Nothobranchius furzeri: one gene and its partners. The protein of the gene in region 3 binds, or shares a complex with, the protein of the main gene of each other region. Links are inferred from orthologs where the notes say so. Each region holds a gene or a part of one and is shown on either strand. Other genes may lie near its edges.

The links. The genes of interacting proteins can lie anywhere in the genome.
Region 1: the proteins of rab35b (region 3) and rusc2 are in contact, whole or in part, in a crystal structure (PDB 6IF2), measured with the Homo sapiens proteins. The link is inferred for Nothobranchius furzeri from reciprocal best matches to the Homo sapiens genes RAB35 and RUSC2. Residues at the interface, in NP_006852.1 of Homo sapiens: Asp4, Tyr5, Leu8, Phe9, Lys10, Ser22, Leu26, Asp30, Ile38, Thr40, Val43, Asp44, Phe45, Lys46, Ile47, Lys58, Gln60, Trp62, Thr76, Arg79, Gly80, His82; in NP_001129471.2 of Homo sapiens: Val997, Lys998, Asn1001, Asp1005, Val1008, Thr1013, Arg1015, Lys1020, Glu1119, Glu1155, Leu1158, Leu1159, Gln1161, Pro1162, Leu1165, Leu1166.
Region 2: the proteins of rab35b (region 3) and dennd1b are in contact, whole or in part, in a crystal structure (PDB 3TW8), measured with the Homo sapiens proteins. The link is inferred for Nothobranchius furzeri from reciprocal best matches to the Homo sapiens genes RAB35 and DENND1B. Residues at the interface, in NP_006852.1 of Homo sapiens: Lys10, Leu12, Ser17, Ser36, Tyr37, Ile38, Thr39, Thr40, Ile41, Gly42, Val43, Asp44, Phe45, Gln60, Trp62, Thr64, Ala65, Gly66, Arg69, Phe70, Arg71, Thr72, Ile73, Thr74, Ser75, Thr76, Tyr77, Arg79, Gly80, Thr81; in NP_001182144.1 of Homo sapiens: Met1, Arg4, Glu43, Ser47, Phe51, Val72, Leu73, Thr74, Asp75, Ile76, Glu77, Ser78, His211, Glu212, Arg213, Arg214, Gln242, His243, Ile244, Ile246, Leu249, His252, Leu253, Asp255, Tyr256, Cys258, Ala259, Pro260, Met261, Pro262.

The regions. Positions count from the first base shown.
Region 1 is NC_091750.1:38,915,688-38,924,079, reverse strand, and holds the start of rusc2 (AP-4 complex accessory subunit RUSC2), read right to left. Parts: upstream 3,289-8,392; 5' UTR 3,092-3,288; intron 1-3,091. Other genes in the region: uncharacterized protein, read left to right, coding at 6,752-6,768, 6,860-6,909, 6,981-8,392. UniProt on the Homo sapiens protein: Associates with the adapter-like complex 4 (AP-4) and may therefore play a role in vesicular trafficking of proteins at the trans-Golgi network.
Region 2 is NC_091748.1:66,499,413-66,507,988, forward strand, and holds the start of dennd1b (DENN domain-containing protein 1B), read right to left. Parts: upstream 3,289-8,576; 5' UTR 2,936-3,288; coding exon 2,919-2,935; intron 2,439-2,918; coding exon 2,374-2,438; intron 1-2,373. UniProt on the Homo sapiens protein: Guanine nucleotide exchange factor (GEF) for RAB35 that acts as a regulator of T-cell receptor (TCR) internalization in TH2 cells. Acts by promoting the exchange of GDP to GTP, converting inactive GDP-bound RAB35 into its active GTP-bound form.
Region 3 is NC_091757.1:28,059,900-28,070,995, reverse strand, and holds the start of rab35b (ras-related protein Rab-35b), read right to left. Parts: upstream 6,814-11,096; 5' UTR 6,585-6,813; coding exon 6,533-6,584; intron 4,768-6,532; coding exon 4,717-4,767; intron 4,593-4,716; coding exon 4,469-4,592; intron 1-4,468. UniProt on the Homo sapiens protein: The small GTPases Rab are key regulators of intracellular membrane trafficking, from the formation of transport vesicles to their fusion with membranes.

The sequences.
Region 1 (8,392 bases), on a different chromosome or scaffold from region 3:
CCTTACTTGAGTAATAAACCCTATATCAGGAAAATATTGTCCTCGGTTTGTGTTCCAGTGAGCTTTGCAGATGTGGGAAAATGTCATCAGGCAGTAATCATTGTTAAATTAATAATTATTCTCAGAGAGAGACCAACTCTTATCTGCCCCTGGGAGCCCCGTAATGCATAGCGTCATTTCAACATGGCGGTGTCCGCGACACGGTTTATATGCAGGTAGCGGCGCTGCGGCTGCTTTATATAGCGACTCGTTGCATTCTCCCTCAACCCAAATCCTCGGATCACGCATTTTAGCTAAAACGCTAACGTTAGCTTGCCTTGCGTTGACTGTAGGGTTGTGGGTGATGGTCACGCAGATGTGTCATGAGATTTGAAGCGTTGCTGCCTTTCACAGACACTTTTTCTGCACGTGCTGCAAACAGGATAGCCGTCTTCTATCAACTGTCCCTCGGCATTCTTCAAATATCCAAAAGATGCCCGTACTTCCCACTTTGTCTTCTTTGAGGGATAATAAATGTCCTGAGCGCTGCCGTCTCCTCCTTTGGCCGTTATTTCAGCTTTAGCTTCAAGAAAGTTTTGGTTGTAAACAACAAAGTGCGCATGTGCCGCCGGCAACTTGAGCAGATGATACGGTGGCTGGTAAGGGTCACCGCGCCTACACCGCAGCCACGGTAACCCACAGAGATAATAATAATAAAAAAAAAAACAAGATGGTTATTATTATTGTCAACTTTTTTACCGGGGTTTACTGCTACACCGGTTACCGTGACAACCCTACTAGAGACCACCTCAAAAGTACTGATTAAACGAGTGTTCCACACCTTTAAATAAAAATCGAACAGAACAGTTCCTGCTCCTGACATTTAGGAATGTAGGGAAGTGGAGGGACTTCCTTCCATTCATGTCTGGGCTATTTTCAGGTTCCTTCACACATGAAATCTGACTGAAAAAAATAAATAAAAACATTACATTTTAGACTTAAACTGGTTTCAATTTTGATTCTGGAAAAAAAACAGAAAACAGAAAGATTTTAGAATAAATATATTCCAGCAATTTATTTAAAAATATTGATATAAAAAGTGTTTAAGTGGCAAAGATTACATGTTAATCCTGCAGCCATGACATATTATTGTTGTTTGGATCAGCTGGGTAATCCCACCATACCGAATGCAATCTGCCTGAAGATAAAAACAAAAACTCAACAGGAAGAGCAGAGCAACGGCCTAAAAAATAAAAGCCTTGAAATAAATTCCAGTAACAATTGTCCTGAGATTAAATAGTGTTTAAATCTATATAATTGGTTTTCATCTTAGGTTTTAATTTAAAAACAATTCATTAGGATTCCACTAGGCCTGGGACGGTAAATCAATAAATCAATTAACCATACAATAGATGAAAATTAACTCAATCGTTTTTCCAGCCCCGATATATTGAGGGTCTTTAGTGCAATATTTTCTAACAGAGAGTGAGAGTCCTTTCTTATTGTATTTTTTTGTTTGTTTGTTTTATTTATTTATTTAGAAGTTCTGGTTTTGGATATTCCAATGTTAAATGAAGGTTTTATAGTTGCATTTTAAAGGAAACACTTGCATTATTATGATATATTGTAATTACATAAGTGGTTATTTTGGTCTCAACAATGTCAACAACAATGTTGTTTATTGTCATTAACTGGTTGTTATCGTCGTCCCAGGCCTAGATTCCACAAAGCTCTACTTATTATGGTTCTTTATTCAAATTCAAAATACTTTAATGATCCCTGAGGCACATTCTGTGTTTTTATTCATTTTTCTATTAAATTCAGTTTATTTCTAAAGCGCCAAATCAGGACCAGAGTCGTCTCAATGACGTTCACACAGTAAACATTTCTAGTACAGGTCAGGTCATTAAGCCAATCAATAAAAAGTTTCCTACATAAGAAACCCAGCAGGTCGCATCGAGTCACTGACTAGTGTCAGAGTCTTTACAGCAGTCCTCATACTGAGCAAGCATGCAGCGACAGTGGAGAGGAAAACTCCCTTTTAACAGGAAGAAACCTCCAGAGGATACTGGGTCAGTATGGCACACACACACACACACACACCAAGTAGTGTTTTTATGAACTTTCTTTATCTCAGTGAATCTAAAATTAACTCAAAATTATTTCACTCTTCAGTTTAGAAATTCAGTTTTAGGGTCACTTTTTATTTCCTCAAACCAACATTAACTTCTAATAACCACCAATTAGGTACACTATTTTTTTAAGCAAAACAGATTATGAACAGATTTTTTGGTGTAATGTATCAACAACGTAGCCTGGCAAGCCATCCTACACATGTAAATAGAAACAATTAAATATTAGTAAATATATAAAATATAAATAAATATAATGAATAAAAAATATATACGAGGCCAACAACACCTGCCTCAACTTTAATAAACAAGGGTGGGATACTACTCTAGAGATCTAAATAGATAGTATTAAATGTACCTGCTGTTTAAACCTGTTGTCTAAACCGACAAACAGCTCTACAAATTCTCGTTTCATTTTTTCAGGCTAAGCAGATAGGCTTTTATTTTGTAAACCTTGGCCGGAAGCTATACTTTGAACATCCTGTCGAACTTGACGCTGTTTGCGTTTCGCTGATGTTTCTAGTAATGTGGATCACTATGGTGGATCGATATGGTGATAACGGGGGCGCAGGCCGCTGGCGAGGCCGCGCCGTGTCACGTTAACGGTGTACGCGTGTACAGAGACATCAATATATAATAAAAACGTGACGTATTTTACATAAATGCGCGGACATTTAACCCGAAAATGAATAAAACCGAGGATGAGACAAACCGTTACACGCGCCAGCCACACACAACTAGCCAAACCCAACCAGCCTCCCAGATTTGACCCTTTCCAACACAAACATCTAAACTACCGCTCAGAAGGACCAGAAAGACACGTAGCTCCGGAACAACGAGCTGCGCATTCTCCAAAGGAACGAACAAAACATCCTTTCTTCTGCCTTCGACGCGATATTCGGTTAACGGAGCCTTTTGTCGTTCCCCCCCGCTTGTTTTCACCCAGTACGCACTAAAAATGTGCTAATGGAGCCGTTTACCTTGTCGGCCGTGGCTCTCGGTGCCAAAGGCGGTGTAACAGTCTGCTGCCGAGCTGTTACCTCCGTGTGGGAATCCGGTGTCGGTACCGGAGACACTGCGGGATGGGAGGAAGTGAAGCAGCAGCACGTCAGGCTGAGGTGACGCCGGTCCCAGTCCCAGACTGGATTATCTCACCCGGGCGGGACAGCCAGCACCCCTCCTCACCCTCAGCCCTCCTGCGTGAGCCACCCGGTGGTCGTTAAATAATAATAAAAATTAAATAAATAAAAAACATTTAGTTTTTGCTGTTTCTTCTTCTTAAATTGGAGTAAAGCCAAATACTTTTTGTTGGGAAGAACAAAAGAAATGCAAAAAACAATAGAAAAGGTTATGAAATTTAAACTTTAGGTGTAAAATTTGATCACTAACTATTCTGGAAAAACATAAAAAGTACATTAAACTAAAATATGCAAAACATTTCTATGCAAAACTCAACTAAACACGTTTTAAATGAAATAACATTGAACGTGCAACATGACTCATTGCTCACACCAGACCTAAGTTATTGCGTAGAATGACTATACCTTTGGTCAGCAGCTGAGAGTCATCCATCAAAACATTAGAGAGCAAACCAATAACTTCTTATCCTGTAAACATAACGTTGGTTGTAGATATTATGAGTATATCAATCAATCAATCAATCAATCAATCAATCAAAGCTTTATTTATAAATTATTATATATAATTATTATATTATTTAATCTTTAATTCTTAGCCTATTATTAACATTTTGATTTATTTGTATTGGTGTTAATGTTTTATTAAAAACGTTTTAAAATAGGGGAAATCTTATGTTTAATTTGATCTTATTTTTTAATAATTAGCTATATTTTACAATGTTGTTTTTTTAACATATTTGGCATTTACGGTTATCTTAAATAATTGTTTGTATGATCATGAGGACAATTGGGATGGAAAAAATAAGTATCAGCTTTAATCCAGTTTCGATTGATCTCTTTGATAACCAGTATTTGTAAATTGACAACTCCGTTATATTGCAAAAACCGAAATGGTCATGTTTATTTATTTATTTTTTATTTTTTGAAGGTTTGATCATCAGAATCAGAAAGTTTTTTGCCATATGTGTGAGCATCAGGAAAGTGCTGCGTACTTGGTGCAAGAAGAAGAAATAAGCACAATAAAATAATTTTATAGAGCAACAGCAATTAGAGAAACGACAACAAGTCACGTGCAAACACAGCACAAGGTCATGTGACCAGAGTTGTTAAAGAGCAAGTCACCCCCAAATCAACTTTTTTTGCTGATAAACTAAATAAACGAGTGTCTAATTGTACTGTAGACACGTGTAGTCAATAATTTGGCACTTCAGTGCATCTTAGTTAAAATTTAAATTTTCTGCCTAAAACTGGCAGTGTTGCGCCGTCGTCAGGTAAAAACTCTGCACTGTATTTTAATTTAAATCTGCCACCGCTATTGGCTAAGAGGTATGCTATGATGTAAACTGGTGCATTATGACGTCACAATGCCGTTGTGAGCCTGTGTGTGTGTGTATTTGTTAGTGGCTCCGCCCTCTCGGTCTGCCAGGCAACAGCAATTGTTGCATTTTTCAAACATGAAGTGGGAGTGGAGTAAGTTTATTGTAGGGGGTGACTTGCTCTTTAATTCAGGAGTCCATCTGCAGAAGGTGGTGAGAGGTTCAGGTGCAATACTCGGTTCCACCGGTAGATGGCACTACCACAAAAAGAAACCGAACCAGAGCTTTATTGCTTTCTTGCAAACCTGACAAACATTTTTACATAATAAAATTCTGTCAACAATGAATGGAAACATGAACAATAAGGAATAAATGAAACAAAATAAATAAAACGTGGAGACAGGATAAATGTGAGTTGCAGAGATAATAAATGCATTATACATTTTCATAGTTTTGATGGTTTTTAACTGAACTAGAGGTTGTTTTGAAGGGATGCTTCGGTGACGTGATACGTGAGGTTTGATTTGTAGTCTTTTTAATGATCAGTTTTTACAAGTTGATAAATATCAAAGTACGTGACAAACAGTCGAAACTCACATATTTCATTTTGATTACAGTTAACATAAGGCAAAGCGGTTTCTTGTTTCAGGCCGTAGGGGCTTGACGTGGGTGTGACGTAGGCTCGTATAACACTAAATATCTAAATGTTTTTGAATGTGAGAAAGATCCATCATAACAATCTTTTAAGTCCAAGTTCTAATCAGATCCCACGAGTCGCAGAAACAACAAGTTCCCCATCAACATGAGGTTTCTGTTTTCGGAGCTTATCCTTAAACTAGGGTCATTGCAGCTCAGTCTGCTTCTGATTTTACTGAGAAAGGGATGAAGAAGAAAAGAGGAGGATCTACTGACACCCGCTGACCCACCACGGTACTAACATCTCCTGGCCTGGAACTCAGGACCAGTGCTTCTCAATCCTGGTCCTGGAGTTGAATCACCTGTGCGGCAGCTCATCAGGCTCTGCAGAAGCCTGTTAATCACCTGCTGATTAAAATCAGGTGTGTTGAAGCAGGTTAAAACTAAAATGTGCTGGGTTCCGGCCCTCCAGAACCACTGCTCTGGACCCACTGGTGCAAAAGCGAAATATTTAGCTCTGCAGGTATAGGTTTACATCGGGTGACCTGCCAGACTAGCACTCCTCAAGAACAGCTGCAGCTTTTAGCTTCTCCGTCTGTTTACAGCATGTTTTACTACATTTGGGATTTCCAGTGATCAGTTATTTTTCCTGTGAAAAAGAGTTAACAAAAGACGAATCACAGCATCATCAGTCCTTATTGCTTCTACCGAATGGTTTCAACTCATTCAAAGGATCAAACAAAGGTTTGAATTTGAGGTTTGATTAGAAATTTATCTAATGCATCAGGTGCTGGAAACATAAGTGGGCCTAACTCAGTTCTTACAGAACTTGTAAAGTGTTCATGAGTCACAGGTCGTAACGTCAGTGTTTCCTCGTTAAAGCAGCATGTCAATAAAAAATAACATCATACCCAGGATGCTCTACTGGTGAAACTCAGAAAGTTAGAACGTTGTCCAGAAGTTCATTTAGCAAAAGGGTTCCAAACCAAGGACCGAGTACAAATGCATGATTCTGCTTTTTCAGAGTTCTGACGTTTCTTTATCTAAAATCATTACTTTAGTGGTTTAATGTAATATTCAAAATGTATGAGATTTTTTATTTGGGGGGGTTATGATAAGCTGCGAGCCGTGATCGTCACAATTCTAACAAATAAACACCTGAACTTTCTCGCTTAGCCTGGAGTGAGTCTGTCTCAGATATCAGACTCGCCTTTTATTTATTTAGATTTATATATATATATATATATATATATATATATATATATATATATATATATATATATATATAATTAGTACACTGAATGTGCTCCTTTACAGGGAAATGATAAACCAGATCAAATTGGATTTATATTGTATAAATCAAGTTTCATTGGTTCCACCTGTTTTCAGTCAATTGTTTTGAAATCAGAGGTTTTGATTGGCTGACAGAACAATGAAAATCACCTGCGGCGCACCTGAAGTTTCACTGTCTCACTGAGGAGTGAGGGAAGAGAGGGAGAGCTGCAGTTGTTGGTCCAGGTGCTGAGCAGCGTGTTCACACGTCAGAACCATGAAGCTTTTTTTATGGTACTTTCAAGTCATTCATTATGCTTCTGTATGCATTTATTCATTCATTCATCTGGAACAACCGATGATGGTTTTTATACTTCTCTTCTAGTGTGGTGCTACCATGGCTGCTCTGTGGAGAGCTTCAAGCTACCACACAAAGTGAGATCATATAACTTCTGGTAAATGATGATTAATGCTGGTGTAACCAAGAGCTCCTCTGTTTCTCGTAGCTTCCTCGCAAGGACTTCAGACTGGATTAAAGAATCTTGAAGGCAGTAAATCCGATCCCCGCTCCCAGGCGCAGCGCTTCAGCCCGGATCCCCGCTCCCAGGCGCAGCGCTTCAGCCCGGAACCGCAGCGCTTCAGCCCGGAACCCCGCTCTCAGGCCCAGGCGCAGCGCTTCAGCCCAGAACCGCAGCGCTTCAGCCCGGAACCCCGCTCTCAGGCCCAGGCGCAGCGCTTCAGCCCGGAACCCCGCTCTCAGGCCCAGGCGCAGCGCTTCAGCCCGGAACCCCGCTCTCAGGCCCAGGCGCAGCGCTTCAGCCCGGAACCCCGCTCTCAGGCCCAGGCGCAGCGCTTCAGCCCGGAACCCCGCTCTCAGGCCCAGGCGCAGCGCTTCAGCCCGGAACCCCGCTCTCAGGCCCAGGCGCAGCGCTTCAGCCCGGAACCCCGCTCTCAGGCCCAGGCGCAGCGCTTCAGCCCGGAACCCCGCTCTCAGGCCCAGGCGCAGCGCTTCAGCCCGGAACCCCGCTCTCAGGCCCAGGCGCAGCGCTTCAGCCCGGAACCCCGCTCTCAGGCCCAGGCGCAGCGCTTCAGCCCGGAACCCCGCTCTCAGGCCCAGGCGCAGCGCTTCAGCCCGGAACCCCGCTCTCAGGCCCAGGCGCAGCGCTTCAGCCCCGATCCCCGCTCTCAGGCCCAGGCGCAGCGCTTCAGCCCGGAACCGCAGCGCTTCAGCCCGGAACCCCGCTCTCAGGCCCAGGCGCAGCGCTTCAGCCCGGAACCGCAGCGCTTCAGCCCGGATCCCCGCTCTCAGGCCCAGGCGCAGCGCTTCAGCCCGGATCCCCGCTCTCAGGTGCAGCGCTTCAGCCCGGAACCGCAGCGCTTCAGCCCGGATCCGCGCTCTCAGGCGCAGCGCTTCAGCCCGGATCCGCGCTCTCAGGCGCAGCGCTTCAGCCCGGATCCGCGCTCTCAGGCGCAGCGCTTCAGCCCGGATCCGCGCTCTCAGGCGCAGCGCTTCAGCCCGGAACCGCAGCGCTTCAGCCCGGAACCCCGCTCTCAGGCGCAGCGCTTCAGCCCGGAACCGCAGCGCTTCAGCCCGGAACCCCGCTCTCAGGCGCAGCGCTTCAGCCCGGAACCGCAGCGCTTCAGCCCGGAACCCCGCTCTCAGGCGCAGCGCTTCAGCCCGGAACCGCAGCGCTTCAGCCCGGAACCCCGCTCCCAGGCGCAGCGCTTCAGCCCGGAACCGCAGCGCTTCAGCCCGGAACCCCGCTCTCAGGCCCAGGCGCAGCGCTTCAGCCCCGAACCCCGCTCTCAGGCCCAGGCGCAGCGCTTCAGCCCGGAACCCCATCGCTTCAGCCCGGAACCCCGCTCTCAGGCCCAGGGACAATCTTTGCATCATCAGCAAAAAGTTTTGCTCCAACCT
Region 2 (8,576 bases), on a different chromosome or scaffold from region 3:
TGATCCGATTTAGGGAGAAGTGACCGATTCCTCATAGGAGTAAATGAAACTGCTTATTTTAAAAAAAGCAGCCAGCCACAACCTTCAGGCCCTCCTGACAGAAACCTAAAGTAGAGATTAGCAGTTTCCTCAACAGGTTTATTTTCAACAATCCGAACAGCGTGAAGAGAAAACATTCTGGTCAAATAACAATAATATGTGCATTCAGTTCAAACTGAAGTGAGCAAATGTTGCACCGCAGCTTTGCTCAAGGGAACTGGAGACCGGATATGAGTCTGACCCCAGATCAGACGTGAAGGAAGTCAGTTATTACTGTGCAATTCAGCAGTTTATGAGTTTGGTTGAAAAGCCAATATGAGAACTACATCCAAGGACAACTTTCAGCCTTCACTCGTCAGCTCAGCAGCTGCAAGGGCGAACCCTCCAATAACACCTCTTCAAACTCAGCCGTGAGCGGGCAAAGCAAGACACACGCACAACGTTTTTACATGATATAGACTTGTGAATAACACTGGATATTGACGGGAATGTTAGGGTTACTTCATTTCCTGTATTTATAAAATGATTAAGGATGGTGTTGCTCTTCGGTGGACACTTCATTTCTCACAAAAGTTACGACCAACTGGAAGGTACGACAAACAGGTTTCTCACTCAAACCTGACATTTTTAAAAATACAACACATTTCATGGATTTTAGAAAAAAATGTCCCCAAGGAAAAATGTACGATCAGGTAAATCAAATAAATGTGCGTAAGAGAAAAGGAAAATTTGAAATGGATTTTTATTTTTCTCAGAACTCAAGTGTCAGCCTTCTGTTGCAGACAAAGCAAACTCTGAACCTCACACACACACACTCTAATACAACCGCCGTAATGACTACTGGTTCAGTCATGCAGTGAATGCAAGTGCATTCAGCAACCACACAGCTCCCTGGCTGCACAGTTAACAATTATAGTATTTACAGGCTGGGTAGAAACAATCATTTTTGCAACAATGGGAGCAAAGAAATTCACCACTCGTCAGCTCAAGTAAACAGCTTTATCAAACTGAATACTGGAAACAAAGTGCTTGGTTTTAACAGTTGTATCTATTACATGTATTAAATTGAAATATTATAAAATGGTGCAAAAGTCCAGACAGCTCTTTTAAACTGAGAGACCATCTAAAGGCTCAGGAATCCTCTGCAGGTGTTCTGCATTCATTAGATGATTAGAGTGTCTAGAATATTGAACCTTTTCACAATATTTTCATTGTCTGAGATTTTGAATGTGTTGTTTTCTTAAGCTGTAAGCCATAATCATCATAATATAACAAATAAAGACTGAAATATCTGGCTTTGCATGTAATGAGTCTGTCTCATATATTAGTTTCACATTTTAAGCTGAATTACTGACACAAATGAACTTTTGCACCATATTCGGAGTATTTTTAGAGTTTCACCTGTATATGGCCCACAAACATAACCCTCCCACTGTCCTAATGGGTGTGACCCTGTGAGGAAAGCTGACCATTGAGCAGGGTTGATGGTTTATCCCTTGAGGTCCACGTGGCAGGGGTGAGGAGTGAGCACCACCTCACCCCTGCCACGTGGACCTCAAGGGATAAACCATCAACCCTGCTCAATGGTCAACTTTCCTCGCGGGGTCACACCCATTAGGACAGTGGGAGGGTTATGAACATTTTGTGTCATGCACAAGGTGATTTTTGTGTTTAACTGGCCCATAGCCAAATCACAACACATTTGAATTTACAGCAAACAAGTTTCAGAAGTTGCAAACTCATTTCTCAGAAACGGGCTCACATGATGAACCAGTTTTTACAAACGCTGGTTGTTATCTTAAAGTGTATCGACTTAGCAAAAATCTCACAATAACCTAAAACAACTGGTCCCATTTCTAAAGACTTCATTCATCTACCATCTGCTTTATAATCTTGTGGAAGATGAAAAGTCAGAATTAGTGGAAACAACCCCAGGAACAACCCTGTGACCCTGCTGAGGAGAAACGGTTCAGAGAATGAGTTTTGACTGAGCTGTTAGGTGGAATTCATGTCCAAGTGTTTTAAGGGTCATACGTCTCACGTCTCATCCCCTTTTGAATGGTGTTACGTCACCAAATTGAATTATTCCTCTGTGGAATGTGTTGAAGTACTTCAACATTTTTTAAATTCAAGTGTCAGTCTGAAGGACTGTTGTCTGGATTTGGGGACGCGCTGTTCCAAACTCAGCCTGTCGATTATTTATGTGTTTTCAGAGAACTTAAAGTGAGCCGATTTCCTCATTTGCATAAATGTTTGAAACCCCAAAACAGCATGAATTAGTTATTTACTGTCACGTGATTCTGCACACAGAATGGAAATATTAAAATCACATACCTTCATTTTCAGATGGTGGACACGCCACTTGTACAACCAGATCAAATGTTCTTTCTGGGTTCTCCCTAAATGAAAAAAGATTTTAAAAACAGGATCAAACTCATTTTAGGAAAATTAGCAAATATAAACATGTGTTTATCCACGTGAACAGAGTAGTTCTGTGATCTTCTGACCCACATTAACAGGAAATGTCAATAATGAAAGCAGCAGCTCGATGGAGCAGAGGGGTGACTGGGTTCTCTGATAAAACAGAGGGGATTAGCTCGACCCACAGAATGGTTGTTCACCTATTTTAAAGCGGCTAATTGGTGGTCAGCTAGTGGACAGCCACAGACTGACCCAAATGCGTGCTGAGCCAGCTGGCCTGGCTGTTAAAGCCGCTGCTGGAGATGGCTCAAATTACGCCAAACATTCCTCCGCAACTCACGCGCAGCTCCGAGTTAACGGCGCGTCAGCTGCACGTTAGCCGTTAGCCTGACCGGTAAACGTAGCAAAGCGACTGAATATTTATTTAAAAAAAAAGAAAATAAACTCCAAGGTCTTACTTTATCCTGCTGTCCATGGTTTAGTTACAACATCGCGACAACGCCGTACTGTCTGTCGGCGGCTCTGCTCTGCTGTGAGGTCTGTCCGGGAAATTTTCCACCTCGTCCTCCTTCCTCGGTTTCTCAGCCGAAAACCCTCTTTCTATCTTATCTGATATCGGTCAAAAGCAGCTGCCGCGACCACATGCTTGATGGTGGGAGGAGGTGGGAGTTTGTCTCGTCTTTCCAGCCGTTTATGTGGCCTAAATTCCCTCAATTCAGCACCACCGTGGCTGTTTCCCACAACAAACACCACTCCAGGAAGTGCTGTCAAAGATTTGGTGACGTCAGCGCGTCAGATGAGCACCTTGCTGCCTGCGAGCGTCCGGCTGCTGCAGACCTGATCCATGTGGTTCATTGCTTCCGATTACACACACACACACACACACACACACACACACACACACACACACACACACACTTTAGACCTGGACCGTGTGATTCACGCTGCTTCTGATTAAAAGGGGCTTCCTTCTGACGCTGCTGCGTTATTAGCTCAGTTGTGGCGGCTGCAACGGAGGCTGCCAGAGTGCAACAAGGGGATTCCTATTTACCTCAGGTGCTGAATACACATACACACACACACGTCCGTCTTCCTATCATAGTGAGGACCCTCCATTGACTTCCATTCATTTTTGTGACTCCACTATGCATAACCCATACCCTAACTATAATCAATGCTGATTTATCCCTAACCCTAAAACAAAATTCACACCATACCTCTAAAACCAACTGGTAAGTTTCTAAAAAAAATGTCCTCACATTGTAGAGTGCAGTACAGTACAAGAACACACACACACACACACACAAAACCTACATACACTTTTAGTGTATTTCCCAATTAGAAGTGTAAACTGCTAGCCTAGTGAAGTAGACCAAATTCTTGCTTTGCAATAATACATTTATTTAGTCTGGCTTGCCTGGCTAGTAAACTACATCTCAGAAGAAAATGTTCCTTGTACTATTTAAAATAAAATCAATCAAGACAAACAGATGTATTGTAGTTTGTTATTATTCATTTTAGGCATCATGTGTATTCATGCATGAATGAATGAATGAATGGCTTGTAATTAAAACACATTCAAGTAAATTACATGCAGTGCTTTACTCATTCAGAACAATATAAACAGCATAGGGATATGAATATGAGTGGGATGTACACAGAGTCTGTTTGAAAAGATAAAATTCAAATGAATACAGGTGGAAATCTTATTGCACCAACATAGCAGTCATTAAAAAGGTAAACATAGGTTAAAAGGAAGTCATTCAGACTTTTAAAAAAGTAATTTCTAAGTAATACAGAAACATGGACAAAATAAATTGACTGGTTTCCCAAAAAAATGCTCAAATTATATATTCTCCCCTTGAATTTAGGAAGTATCTCTTGAAAATGTTTATTCATTCATTATTCCATAGAATTTCAGTAATTCCAACTAGATTAGTAGTTTATTTGTTAGTATTTTCATGTGCAAAAACTTTCTGAAAATGTCTTCTGTCACTGGTCATGCAGCTGGAATCCATATCTTTTCCTGAAATCCTTACTGGACAAAAGTTGCCTAATTTATCATGAGAGCCTTCAAAATAATTGTGTTTATGTTGCTAAAATGTTTGCTCATCATCTGTGAAGCAGCATTTGCTTATGACCATTGCATCCACTCCTCCTGCATTGCTGTTCATCTTAATTCATCAAAACGATTTCTAAATGTTTTTTTTACAGGAGTCAGATGTTTCACTTTTACCAGATAGTCCTAGTTTTATGACTCTTTTACCACAGACCAAATGTAAAACAAGAAAACTACAATTAAATGACTAATTGCTTTGAATTCCAGCTGAATAAGATCATGTGTGGTCAGAGCAGATTCGTAACACTGCTACAACGCAAAACAGCAAGAAAAATAAAAAGCCACTAGTGTTGTTGGTCCAGCATTGGCTGTGACATTTATTATTGCGGTTTTAATTAAAAGAAAGGTCACACAGTCCACCATCAGTCAAAGGTGCTTTCTGCATTAGTCACTTTTCCGCTCTGTCTGACAGATTCCTGTGTATTATAATGAACTGTTTTCTTCAGGTTCATGAGATGTACCAGTAAATATAGATGTCACCACAAAATGACACCCAATAAAAACAGAACTTTCACTTCGGAACTAAAGCACCTGTGACCTGGGTGGTTTTAGCTTTTAGCCTGCATGCTGTTGTGCGCTAGAGAATGCAGTGCACATCAAAGGGACAACTTAAAGGACGCAGAAGGTCGTTGCAAGGTCAGTTGCAGCTAACAAATAATTCATCAAGATTATTGCGACAAATAAACGTAAACCACAGAGAGCCCAGCGATTACTTTAGCAGCCAGTAGCATTCTAGCAGTAAGCATAATGTTTTTCTGCTGATATAGCTGAGTGGTGAAAATCAGTGAGCAGTGTTTGCTCCTCCCTCCTGCCCCCACCATCGATGTGCCCCCAGCAGCAACAGTGTGACACAGATCCAGCTGTGATGGACAGAAGAAGCGTGAGGAGAGCTGGTGTTATACCAGTTTAAACATAAACCAGACGAGTGCACGTCTCACTTACATCAGTCTGTATTCACATGTGTACAAATACTTTGTTACTTAAAGATTTGCTTTTTGTCGTTGTGTTAAATACATTTTTATCTTGAACCACTCTGGTAATAAATCATTTTGAAAGACATCCGGTGCATCATATCGTACCAGTATTTTGTCCTCTCTCTTCACTGCCTATTTATATCTTGTCTACTTCTATTCATCACATTTTCACTGTTTGCTTTGGAGACTTGAAAAATCACCATTTAAATTCTGTTTATGTCTTATAAATGTATGGACAGCAGTGGCTCGGCAGAGTGGGTTGTAGGTTGTAGGTTTGATCCCAGCAGAAAATACTGCTGTTGTTTTCCTGGGCAAGACACCCAACTCCCCTTCCCTGCTGGTCGTGGTGGTGCCTGTGCTCAGAAGCCTCGCCTCTCTCTGATACTCTGTAGGGGAAAGCACATTGGAGGCATCTGACTCTGAAAGGCAACTTTTGACAGTTAACTTAATTGAATTTCTTTGTATGTTTATGTATACATGTGAGTTTGTGCATGGCTAATGCATTTCTATGGAAAATATATACATATTGATAAATATCTGTATATGTGGATTATTCTGTGGTTTGAAGTTATTTCCCTTTACAATGCAAAATGCTTTTCTTATTAGCCCAGACACGGGCAAGTCCAGCTGGTCAGTTCAGGGAGAGGGCCAAACCAATACAGGCAACCCAAATACAGCACCACCTGAGAGGGAAACAGCTGTAAAGCACCAAGAATGTGACAGTGAAATAACAGATGCTGCGCAGTGGTGCAGTGGTTAGAGCTGCTGCCTTGCAGCAAGAAGGTCCTGGGTTCGCTTCCTGGCCTGGGATCTTTCTGCCTGGAGTTTGCATGTTCTCCCTGTGCATGCGTGGGTTCTCTCCGGGTACTCCGGCTTCCTCCCACAGTCCAAAAACATGACTGTTAGGTTGATTGGTCCGTCTAAATTGTCCTTAGGTGTGTGTGTGTGTGTGTGTGTGTGTGTGTGTGTGTGTGTGTGTGTGTGTGTGTGTGTGTGTGTGTGTGTGTGTGTGTGTGTGTGTGTGTGTGTGTGCATGATTGCTTGTCCTGTGTGTCTCTGTGTTGCCCTGCGATGGACTGGCTCTCAGTCCAGGGTGTACCCCGCCCGATTGCCCGTTGACCGCTGGAGATAGGCACCAGCCCCCCGCAACCCTGCGTGGACAAGCAGGTTCAGAAGATGGATGGATGGAAATAACAGATTTTTTTTCACAACCTGATCAGAAAAATCTCCTATCGTTTCTAAATTACCATCCTCCGCCAAAAAGTACCAATCCTGTGGTGCAGAAAGTGTTCTGTAGCAGAGATGGTACCAGCAGAAGATGGCTGACGTACTGTCCAGTGCATCATGTGCTGTATTGCTTCATCTGCATGGCATTTGGTAAGAGAACTGATAGTAGTCTGTTCATCAGTGGAATGTCAGAATGGAAGCATATACACCAGCGCACCGAGGAACATGAGAGAAGCAGTGCACACAGAAACTGTGCTGAAGCATACCTCTTGAATATCAGCCGATGTTTCGTGGCAGTCAGATGACCGCACACAGAGAGCAGGTCAAAAAAAGACGACAGGTTTTGGAGCGCATAATAGATGTCATCAAGGTTTTTGGGAAGAGGGGGCTTGCATACAGGAGGTCAGAAAATGAGGCAGCACCCTGGAAGACCACGCAGTTGACCATGGAAATTTCCTTGAACTTATACTTCCACTGGGGAAGTATGATTTCTGTTTAAAAGAGCACCTGGATAGCTGCATTGAGGAGAGCAAAAAGTTACATTTATCTGGAGGCACAAGAGGCAGAGGTTCCCTTGTAACTTTTCTCTCCAAAACCACAGTCAACTCAGTGATGGATGCAATTCACCATCTGATTCAAGAAAACATATCACATGAGATCAAGAAAGCAGGAATGTTTTCAGTTCAGCTGGACACAACACAGGACATCTCTCAGGATCAGTGCTCCATTATTATGAGGTATGTTACTGATGTTGTTAATGAGAGGCTTGTTGCAGTGCTGAAGTGTAGTTCATCTACTGGACAGGCCTTTGTTGACATGCTGTCAGATGTTCTGGAAAAAATGGGCCTGAGCAAGACAATGTGCATTGGAAGTGTGACCGATGGGGCATCAAACATGCAAGGCCAGTATAAAGGATTCTCTTCACTATTGTCTGCACAATCACCAAACCAAATGCATGTCTGTTGCTATGCACATGTGCTAAATCTGGTGCTTGCAAACACAACCCAGGTTGTTATTGAGAGCGGGTCCCTTTTCGCGCTCTTCAAAGGCATTGTTGTATTTATCACAGAGTCATGTCAAAGGATGAATGTGTGGATAGAGACAGGCCAAAACAAAAGACGGAGAATCCTTGCTCCTATTGGTGAGACACGTTGGTGGGCCAAGCACGAGGCCCTGAAGAAGGTGTTTGGCTACTTTGGAAAGCCGGAAAATGGTCTGTATGTCGATGTACTGTTGACATCATCCAGAAACAGGCAACAGTAAAACCCTCCATCTGTGTCCTGGCGAGAGGATATACTGAGTCTTTGCTGAAGTATGAGATGATCTTAATGGCTCAAATCTTCCTCCACATATTTGATCATACCTCTCCATTGTCTAAGTGCCTTCAGACAGCAGGATTGGACGTCCTCTCTGCCTACAGAATGGTAGTATCAACACAGGATACACTGAAAAGCTTGGGAAGAGATTTTGAATCCATCAAAAAAAAAGCAGCAGGCACTTTTGTCAAGTGGAAAAACACAAAAATCCAAGAGAAAGATGACATGGACATTGAAGTGGAGGCCACATTGCCACAAAAAAGGAAGAGGATGAAGGCAGTCTTGCCTGGAGAGATGGCTCAAGATGAAACCCTGGATGATGCAGAAAAATCCTATCAGGTGAATGTGCATAACCAGATCATGGACACCGCAACTGAAGCCATTCATAGACGCTTTTTAATGCATGGGAATCTATATGCCGACTTGGCATGTCTGGATCCCAGACACTTCCCTCGGCTCTGTACCAATGATCTTCCCCAG
Region 3 (11,096 bases):
TGAGACCAGTAGCTGGTGGCTCCCTCCCGAGCGGTCTGATCAGGTCAGCGTCTACGACCTGTTTCCACGGTGGAACTAATTTAAGAAGACCTAATAAGGAACCGCAGCCCTCCACTTCAGCTCCATCCACAATCAGCCTGTTTGGTAGACGGATTCCTGCAGAACAGGAGCTGAGGAATTAGAACGGTCAGAGTCCTTAGGGGACAAAGCATCAGCCTGCAGATGGAAGACGTTGGTTCCTGACCGTCCCGTCCTTGCTGCTACAGGGTAATAAATGTCAAACGTGTCCCATCAGTGCTAAGGACAATGGTGGAGGCATGTAACCGTCACCCAGTGGTGAGTGGCTCGTACTGAGATGGGCAGATACCCAGGTAAAAAGGGTTCACCAGACACAGCAGCTCAGCATTGCTAAGGCCTGTTTAGTAAGTGTGAGAGGAGAAAATAACATTTTATCTGTAAAGAAGAAGGCGACCAATCAGAGTTAAAGGTGAGATTGTGTGCTTGAACACACAAATGGTAGGAAACAGGCAAAATTGCTCTGAGTAATGTGGGGACAATCAGTGTTTTATCTGAAAACGTTCATCCTCGTCAGACAGTGTACAGAGCGGCGGCGGTGGTTTCAGCAGAACTCGTACCAGCAATGATTTATGTGGTGAAGAGACGAGCATCATTCACAGCTAAAGGAATAAGTGTTTCATGATCCTATTTCATGTGCTGCAAGTGCCTCCTCCAGACCAGCAGTTTGTTTTTTTAATGGCGGCACCGGCGCAAGGGGGGGGGGGTTATGACACGTCTCATCTTTATGTTAATATTGTTTTATTTGATGTACTCCACTTTGAACTGCACCAATCCAGCAACTGCTGAATTTTAATAACTATTATTAAAGGTGAATACACCAATATTTGCACAAGAATATTTTTTGTTTTAAATTCTCAGTGACACACTTTGCCCCCCTGCAAAGTGTGTCACTGAGAATTTAAAACAAAAATTATTTGTCAATATTTGGCATTTAATTTTTCTTGGCATCTGGAAAAACATCTTCTGCCCCCCTTTATTTGACTTTCTGTCCCCTTTATTTTGGCCCAAGATCATTACTGGGCTGGCCCGATTAAACTTGTTCTACACCCCTGCTTAGTAGACTTAATGAAGTATTTTTAAGCCAGTATAAAAATGACTGAAACTCAAATATACGTATTTGGCATTATTGACCAACATCTTTGATTTAATTTATTTGTTAAGAACATCAAGATGCATTACAGTGAACATTATAATAAAGTACATGTTTCTAGTGCAGAGAGGAGACAACCCCATAGAAGCACTGATTTGATCTCATTTCAGAGAAAAATAGAACAGATCAGATGCATCTAATAAATAAAATTACTAACAAACACGGGAATCTGTTTCTTTGCTTCATTGTTCTGGTGCTGAAAATATCACTAATGCAGATCAAAGGAGATACACAGATGAATGCACCTCTTATTTATTATTTGGAAATCAGTGGGTGTGGTTTACATCAATACATGATTTTAAATCTGAAATTGATATGGATTGATCAGAAGTTGCTATGTGTGTTTATTAGAAAACTATTTACAGAGCAGCCTCAGAATTGAGATTAAATTGTTTTGATCACAATAGTAAAGGAACTACAGAACAAGTTTTTCACTAAAATCAGAACATTAATATTTAAGTGCATGAATTAATGCATCTGAACTCATGCAGCAGGATTTAGGAAACATGAAATTCTAGAACCATTTTATTTTAATTTGATAAAACTGATTTTTTCCCAGTGTTGTTGGCATTTTTTCCACACACAGTGTGTGTGTGTGTGTGTGTGTGTGTGTGTGTGTGTGTGTGTGTGAGAGAGTGCGAGTGTGTCGGACGGACAGAGCTCCCGGCTGCAGTTTTGTGTGTAGGGAGGGGCGGGCACTCTATGTGACTGGCCAATCACAGAGTGTGAAGACAGTCAGTTACCCAATGAGGATTTTCCTTCAGCACGATTACAGATTTTTACAAGTTTTACTCGTTTCATGCTCGTATTCATCAAAAATGCTTTATCCGTACCGGATACTCGTCTGAAACGAGTATGCGGCTCATCCCTAGCTGTAACCACCCTGCCCTGCCTCCTCCTCCTTGCTGCCTGCTGGCTGTGATCACAAGCAACAACAGAGTAGTTCCCGTTGCTTCTTCGGGAAACGGCGCAACAACAAAAAAAAAAATCAATTAAACTTGGGATCTTGTAGGCGTGGCGCCGGGATTTCAGCCGCGGCAGGCCGCCACGGCTACGTCTATGTAAGGGAAACACTGAATAAAATAACAAACTAAGTCAAACATTTCATTTGGTGTTATTTCTGACACCCTTGAACTGTGGCATGAATATCAAGCTGCTCAGAGACAGTAAACTCTCATATACAGGAAGTGCAGAATTATTAGGCAAATGAGTATTTTGTCCACATCATCCTCTTCATGCATGTTGTCTTACTCCAAGCTGTGTAGGCTCGAAAGCCTACTACCAACTAAGCATATTAGGTGATGTGCATCTCTGTAATGAGAAGGGGTGTGGTCTAATGACATCAACACCCTATATCAGGTGTGCATAATTATTAGGCAACTTCCTTTCCTTTGGCAAAATGGGTCAAAAGAAGGACTTGACAGGCTCAGAAGGGTCAAAAATAGTGAGCTATCTTGCAGAGGGATGCAGCGGTCTTAAAATTGCAAAGCTTCTGAAGCGTGATCATCGAACAATCAAGCGTTTCATTCAAAATAGTCAACAGGGTCGCAAGAAGCGTGTGGACAAACCAAGGCGCAAAATACTGAGAAACTGAGAAAAGTCAAGCGTGCAGCTGCCAAGATGCCACTTGCCACCAGTTTGGCCATATTTCAGAGCTGCAACATCACTGGAGTGCCCAAAAGCACAAGGTGTGCCATACTCAGAGACATGGCCAAGGTAAGAAAGGCTGAAAGACGACCACCACTGAACAAGACACACAAGCTGAAACGTCAAGACTGGGCCAAGAAATATCTCCAGACTGATTTTTCTAAGGTTTTATGGACTGATGAAATGAGAGTGAGTCTTGATGGGCCCGTGGCTGGATTGGTAAAGGGCAGAGAGCTCCAGTCCGACTCAGACGCCAGCAAGGTGGAGGTGGAGTACTGGTTTGGGCTGGTATCATCAAAGATGAGCTTGTGGGGCTTTTCGGGTTGAGGATGGAGTCAAGCTCAACTCCCAGTCCAGGTTCTGGAAGACACCTTCTTCAAGCAGTGGTACAGGAAGAAGTCTGCATCCTTCAAGAAAAACGTGATTTTCATGCAGGACAATGCTCCATCACACGCGTCCAAGTACTCCACAGCGTGGCTGGCACGAAAGGGTATAAAAGAAGAAAAACTAATGACATGGCCTCCTTGTTCACCTGATCTGGACCCCATTGAGAACCTGTGGTCCATCATCAAATGTGAGATTTACAAGGAGGGAAAACAGTACACCTCTCTGAACAGTGTCTGGGAGGCTGTGGTGCTGCTGCACGCAATGTTGATGGTGAACAGATCAAAACACTGACAGAATCCATGGATGGCAGGCTTTTGAGTGTCCTTGCAAAGAAAGGTGGCTATATTGGTCGCTGATTTGTTTTTGTATTGTTTTTGAATGTCAGAAATGTATATTTGGGAATGTGGAGATGTTATGTTGGTTTCACTGGTAAAAATAAATAATTGAAATGGGTATATTTGTTTTTTGTTAAGTTGCCTAATAATTATGCACAATAATAGTCACCTGCACACACAGATATCCCCCTAAAATAGCTAAAACTAAAAAGTACTTCCAAAAACATTCAGCTTTGATATTAATGAGTTGTTTGGGTTCATTGAGAACATGGTTGTTGTTCAATAATAAAATTATTCCTCAAAAACACAACTTGCCTAATAATTCTGCACTCCCTGTATGAACCCATTATGTATTTTATTATTACGTTATGTGTCCTGTAGGTTTTCAGTACTTTTTTAGATTTTGTGAGTTTTTGCAAAGCGTGTTTTTCTCAGCCTGACGTGTGGCTGTTGAACGAGGAACAGATAGTTTTACTTTGTTAAATCTTCTTAAATGTTTAAAATGTTTTGTCCTAACCTGTTGTGAATGGAGAGATTTTGAGGGATGGCAGGTTGTGTCAATTACGTGTTTGATAAAAAGTAAATAAATAAAAATGAAAAGCAATTATCTGACATCTTCTATTTATCGATGAAAACAAATCAATATGAAATAATCGTGATGCATCGGGATTTCTAATCGAATTGAACCACTGACCCAATAATCGTAATCGAATCGAGAGACAAGTGAAGATTCACACCTCTAAATTCCACCCAGTCACACAGCAAAGCTCCTACTCTACGTACTCTAGCTGTCTGCAAACTCCTTCCTCTGATGCAACGGTTCCAGCTTTAATCACCCACATGAGAATGCCCCGTAAAAGAGGCTGCTTACGTGGAGGTGATGGTGCGAAAACGCTCCTGCCCCGCTGTGTCCCAGATCTGTAGCTTCACCTTCTCCCCGTTGAGCTCCACTGTTCGGATCTTAAAGTCCACGCCTATCGTGGTGATGTAGCTACCTGTGAGCAGCCATGCGAGCACAAAAAAACAGACAGAAAACAACAAAGAAGAGGAATTTGAGAGCAGGAAGTAAAGAGTAGAAAAAATGGACGTCACACCACAGCAAAAGGTGGAACCACTCACCTGAAAATGTATTGTCTGCAAATCGCAGGAGGAGACTGCTCTTTCCCACTCCTGAGAATGAAACAAGCACAAGATTACAATAAAACAAGTTTCCAACGAAGACAAACACATTTAAAAAAGTAGATGTGCTCGGTGGCACCCGCCTGGTCAACTCAAACAGAGCAGTAGGGAGCTCTGGGGAGATCTATGTCACTACTGTGAGTCAGATTTTGGTTTTACACTTTATATCTCTGCACCATCAGATGACGACAACATGTTTTAAGAGTCAACAGCGCTAATCTCTGCGTACTCAGACAGTTGGTTCTTCTACACATATTAAGTTTTACACATTACAATGAGCTGGGAGGAGTTCAGGAGAGCTGGGCTCCAAAAACATCTTCATTTGGATCTTAGCAGAGCAAAGAGAGCTGATCAAAGGTTAACAAGAGAAAAAATCTCAAAAATAATAGTCAACAGGTAAAAGTGTGCTGTCTTCAGACAGTTTGACTTCTGGTGTTTGAGCTGTCAGACGGACTCGTCTCATCTCCACACACAGGTTTGTTCCAACAACAATAACCACATCAAATGTACCACCATGTCTCTAACACCGACCTGATCGAGAGTCACTTTCTGTCCAACAAATCAAAACACTGACAACATCCTGGACTCCACACACGACTTTCACGCTCAGTGTGCAGGGCCTTCTAATGCAATGCTGTAATACATAAATGATGTACTCAGGAGGCACACGTGCGACAGGAACAACATCCCCAACCTATGATGGAGATCCAGGGCAGGGAAAATCGGAAGGTCTAGTCTTCTTCCTCCCAAGACGATCTCTGCAGAACTGATCTGCCACAATGTGACTGAGGACACTAAGGCTGTGTGTGGGATGTGATGAAGGGTGCGTAGTGCTGCCTTGTCACACAAAGTGAATAGCCAGCTGATGCGGCAGTAGTGCCAGGACTGAAGCCATCAATGGAAGCAAAGATCACTGTTGCATCAAAAGGCTTCCAGCTGGATGAGCCTTAGATGACGCAGCAATGGCTCCATAATTACACCTGCGGTCTGGATCCACCTGTGGCTTCGGGAGTTTGTCTGATGTGAAAGGATTTCACGTTAAAGGAGCAGCACTCCAGCTTTTACACTTCAGCGGCCAGCTGCACCTGATTGGGTGGCTGAAATTAACCAATTGTGAACGGCTAGCTTGCTGAGAAACAGTTTTGCAAATCAAAGGTCCACGGAGGAGCTTAGTTTCCTGCCTGCTAGCAAAACCACATCCCATGCAGCAGCTTCACCAAACCGTGCTGACTCTACAGACACATACACAAAACTCTACTACTTAGCTAAACAACTTTAAAACACCAAAGTAAATGTTTATTTAAAGCAACCAGCCTGGAGCACTGATGTTAGCCTAGCTTCCTGCTAGCTAATATTACATCGCTAATGTGGGACACAAACAGAGAAAATTAGAGAAGCGGAAGAGCTTTAACGGAGGTAATTTAGTCAAATTGTTAGTTTTTATAGAGCTAAAACCAAGTCTTCGCCTACTGGAACAAAAGTAGAGACCCTGGTGCGACAGAGCCGACGCTGTGGAGGCGCTATCCGGCCTGACATGCCCGGTCCGGTCACACAACCTCCGCCCTGTCACGGGCACTAAAACATGGCGGAGCTGTTCATTCCACTCATCGTTTTCAAGGATAAAATATGAAGCGAAGTGAGAGCCCACAGCCAGTAAACTACTCGGCCCTGCAACGCTACTCTCGCTTACCTTGTAAGAAATAAGAAAAACACAACAAGGCCCACTTCCCGTCCCACATCCCCGAAATCGGCTTACCGCTGTCACCGATGATGAGCAGCTTGAACAGGTAATCGTAGTCCCTGGCCATGCCGGTAGCTGGTGGCTATCCCCCGCCTTTTGCTGCAGCTTCGCTTAGCTTTCTGTTCCGACTCCCTTTAGACCGTAGACATTTACCAGCTCCCAGATCCCCCGGCACACGGAAAACGACTCGGTACCCGATGCTGGAGACGGTTAGACCCCGAGCCGGTGGCGTTTTTTTTCTTCGGGGTTTCGCGGCGTCAGCAATCCACCCTCCGCTGCAAACAGCCGGAAACTCCGCTTCCTTCTCTGGCGGAGCTGCGCCCAAAGGAGCCGACGTCACTGCGCATGCTCCAGCCAGAGCGCGGCAGTCCCAGCAGACTGATCACGGACCAGTCGATTCACAACACCTACAGGTGTCAAAGCCCACGTTTACCGAGAATTGTACCCAGTCGAATCATGATCCAAACACACGTCCCCTCCGATGTCACAAACAACTCCTAAAACAATCAGAATAATAAAAACGCATCCAGCTGTTGTGACTGTGTGAGATTAGTGTTTCAGATAACCAGGTAACCTCACGGGTGTGTTTAATACATCCAGCATGACATGCAACTTCTTCACAGAGTAATCCGAGTTTGTAACTTCCTCCTAATGCAAGTTTTCTTTGATCGTGTCATGCTTTATGCATCATGTCTGCTGAACCTGTCCTGTGGTCTTCAAGTCTTTGTGATTCATCGTTTTGTTGTACCAGAATCATCACTGAAAGCATCTCAAACACACGAAATCTTTATTTTGTATTGTCTTTTTACAACAGTATCCAGGATAAGTACAGTTTGTCTTATAGAAAGTTGCTTTCCACAAACAAGTCACACACAATCCAGAGACAGGGCTGATGTTTCCCTAGAGGCATCTTTAACGCTTGAAATCATTTTGATAAAATAGTCAACAAAACATGATCATATCAAAACAAATTTGGCATTTTGTCTCCCAAATACTACAGTTTAGTGCAGGATTATAACCTGCACATCACAAGATAAAAAGGAGTAAGAAACGGGGCTTAAAGGCAACTAAAACGAAGACTGAAAGTTAGAGAAAACAAAAGATACATTTGTAGGGAAAGCCCTTGTGTGTCGAGTGTGTCTGGGGTTCTCCAACTCAGGATTTGTTTTCAGTGTCAGTCAAATTTTAATCAACCTCTGCAGATTTCAGTTTACTGTCAAGTCCTTTTCAATCATGTCAAAATGGTGTCATCGATCTCTTCATTGGAGTCTGGCAGGCTGGCGATCTTCTTCAGAGACCGGCGGTGACATTCTGACAGCAGTTCATTACTAGCAGAGTCCAGAATAGCAGTCATGCTCTGTCACGTAAAAAAGGTAAGAATGAATAATAACCACAGAAATGTTATTATTGATCATGTCTGAATACAATCCCAGAGAACACAGGCTCACCTGCATGGTTTCCTCTCCTTGGCGGAGTTGTAGCAGGTTGACGATGGTGTGATCACTCTGAGCTCTGACGGTGGTGTTCTTGTCCTTGGTGTTGTCCAGCAGACTCTTCAACAGGGGCTTGATGAGGCTGGTATCCATGGGGGGCACTGACGGGTCTCTGAACACCCACCACAGCACTCGCTCTGACACCAGTCTGATGTCACTGGACTGGTTCTGAAGACACTGGGGTTGTCACACACAACATGTCACATAAAAAACTAGTATTACTTATCTCAGAAGTTTTTTCTTCTGCAACAAGACGCCCCACCCCTGGTTCAGTCCAAAATGTAAACCTAGTTTTCTAGTACTACATCCCACCAGTACAATATCCCACCAGTACTACATCCCACCAGTACAATATCCCACCAGTACTACATCCCACCAGTACAATATCCCACCAGTACAATATCCCATCAGTACAACATCCCACCAGTACTACATGCCACCAGTATTACATTCTACATGTACAACATCCCACCAGTACTACATGCCACCAGTATTACATTCTACATGTACAACATCCCACCAGTACTACATCCTACCAGTACTACATGCCACCAGTATTACATTCTACATGTACAACATCCCACCAGTACTACATCCTACCAGTACTACATCCCATCAGTACAACATCCCACCAGTACTACATCCCATCAGTACAATATCCTACCAGTACTACATTCTACATGTACAACATCCCACCAGTACTACATGCTACCAGTATTACATTCTACATGTACAACATCCCACCAGTACAACATCCTACCAGTACTACATCCCATCAGTACAACATCCCACCAGTACTACATCCCATCAGTACAATATCCTACCAGTACTACATTCTACATGTACAACATCCCACCAGTACTACATCCTACCAGTACTACATTCTACATGTACAACATCCCACCAGTACTACATGCCACCAGTATTACATTCTACATGTACAACATCCCACCAGTATTACATCCTACCAGTACTATATGCCACCAGTATTACATTCTACATGTACAACATCCCACCAGTACTACATCCTACCAGTACTACATCCCATCAGTACAACATCCTACCAGTACTACATTCTACATGTACAACATCCCACCAGTACTACATCCCACCAGTATTACATTCTACATGTACAACATCCCACCAGTACTACATCCTACCAGTACTACATCCCACCGGTACTACATCCTACCAGTACTACATTCTACATGTACAACATCCAACCAGTTCAACATCCTAGCAGTACAACATCCCACCAGTACTACATCCTACCAGTACTACATTCTACAAGTACAACATCCCACCAGTACTACATTCTACATGTAAAACATCCCACCAGTACAACATGCCAGCAGTACTACACCCTACCAGTACAACATCCTACCAGTACCACATCCCACCAGTACTACATTCTACATGTACAACATCCAACCAGTTTAACATCCCAGCAGTACAACATCCTACCAGTACTACATCCTACCAGTACTACATCCCACCAGTACTACATCCTACAATTTGACGATTTTTACTCAAAATATGTGATCAGTACACAGTGTAAGTTTGCCTGTATGCTCCACAGAAACACAGCTCAGCACAAAATAGTGATCAGTTTTATGGCTTTTTGTCAGACTCTGAACCAGGAGATTGCTGCAGGCAGTGAAGCAGAAGGCAGAAAACTCCAGAGCACCCAAGGGGTCATTATGGTCTACATTTTTTGAAGCCAAGGAGTGACTAAAATTGCAGTTGAACTCTCATCCACTAGGGGCTGGCAGCAGACGAGAGCAAATCCTCATTGACTCCCATGTTAAAAATCCCATTTTCACAGCAGAAATAAACACGTTTACAGCCTGGTTCAAAAACCCATTTTAGGTTTAATAGATCTAGTTTACAGTCATGACAACTCAGAAGGGGGTGGATGCTTTTGTAACTCTTCTGTTTAAGTGTAATTTAATGCTTAAAATTCTGAATAATTATTGAGCATCAGAGGGGCCTCACAGCAGGGCCTCCAGCCTCCAGCAGTGGAAAGGCCTCGGCCTCATGTTAATAGATGTTCGGCCATTTCGACTCTCTGAACTTTAGTTTTGTCTGTGTGTTCCTGTTTGGATGTTAATCATGGAATCATTTGGACAAAGAGGGCAAGCTTTGGTTAATGACTGCACTAACAGATCATCCAAACAGTTTCTGCTTCTTTTTATCAGTAAGTAAAATTATATTTCTGTACTTTATTTTGCTGGTTGAATGGGGAAAATGTGGTTCATTTAACTGCTTAGTCAGACATGTTAGTGGGGCTGCTGGCTGGATAAGCGATGCCCGTCTTCCGTTTCCTGCCTGAGACGAGTAGCAAGAGCAGGCGACTGGCTGTTCCCGTTTCCGGGGCAGCCGACATGCGAACCGGCTCAGATGCCTGGTTGTAGTCATGCTGGTCACTTGTGGATTTCTGAGGTAAACCACAGAAACACCGCAGCTTCTTATGTTGATGCTGCTTTACTTTTGAGTCGCTCAACTGCATTTTTTTCTCACTAATAGGTTGCTAGTTTATCATAACACTCTTTGGTCTAAGATGGGTCGAAATCGGTTGAAATATAACGTGTTGGTGTGGCTGCTGGGTATCTGACCGAGGATCGGGCATTGCTGCTCCACCGCAGTAAAAGATCTGCGAGTCAGCCGTTTTTGTCTTCGGTCGGGAGCGCTACACGATAACATGAGCTGAGTCCCAGAGCCGTGTGCGTCGACACTGGCGGACTTACGGCTTTTTGACCATGGTGCACCAGCGAAGCACGATATCCTTGGTCAGCTTACCTAGTTATAATTTCTTTACTAAGCAGGCCGGAGTTGTCTTCATGTTGAAGTCGTTCTAATGCATTTTTCTTGCAAAAAACGCCCGAAAAAACTCTGTTAGCTTCAGGTTAGCATGCAGCTAATGTCCCGCTTATTTCTGACATTGGACAATGAGCTGATCTGAAAAGCCAGGGCTCCTGGTCACAGCGGTCTGGCTCTGATTGTAATTTCACAGGCCCAGTCTATATTAGATCTCCACAGGTGGCCAGCATGACTACAGCCTCGAACTGAAGCCGGTCGGCTGTGCG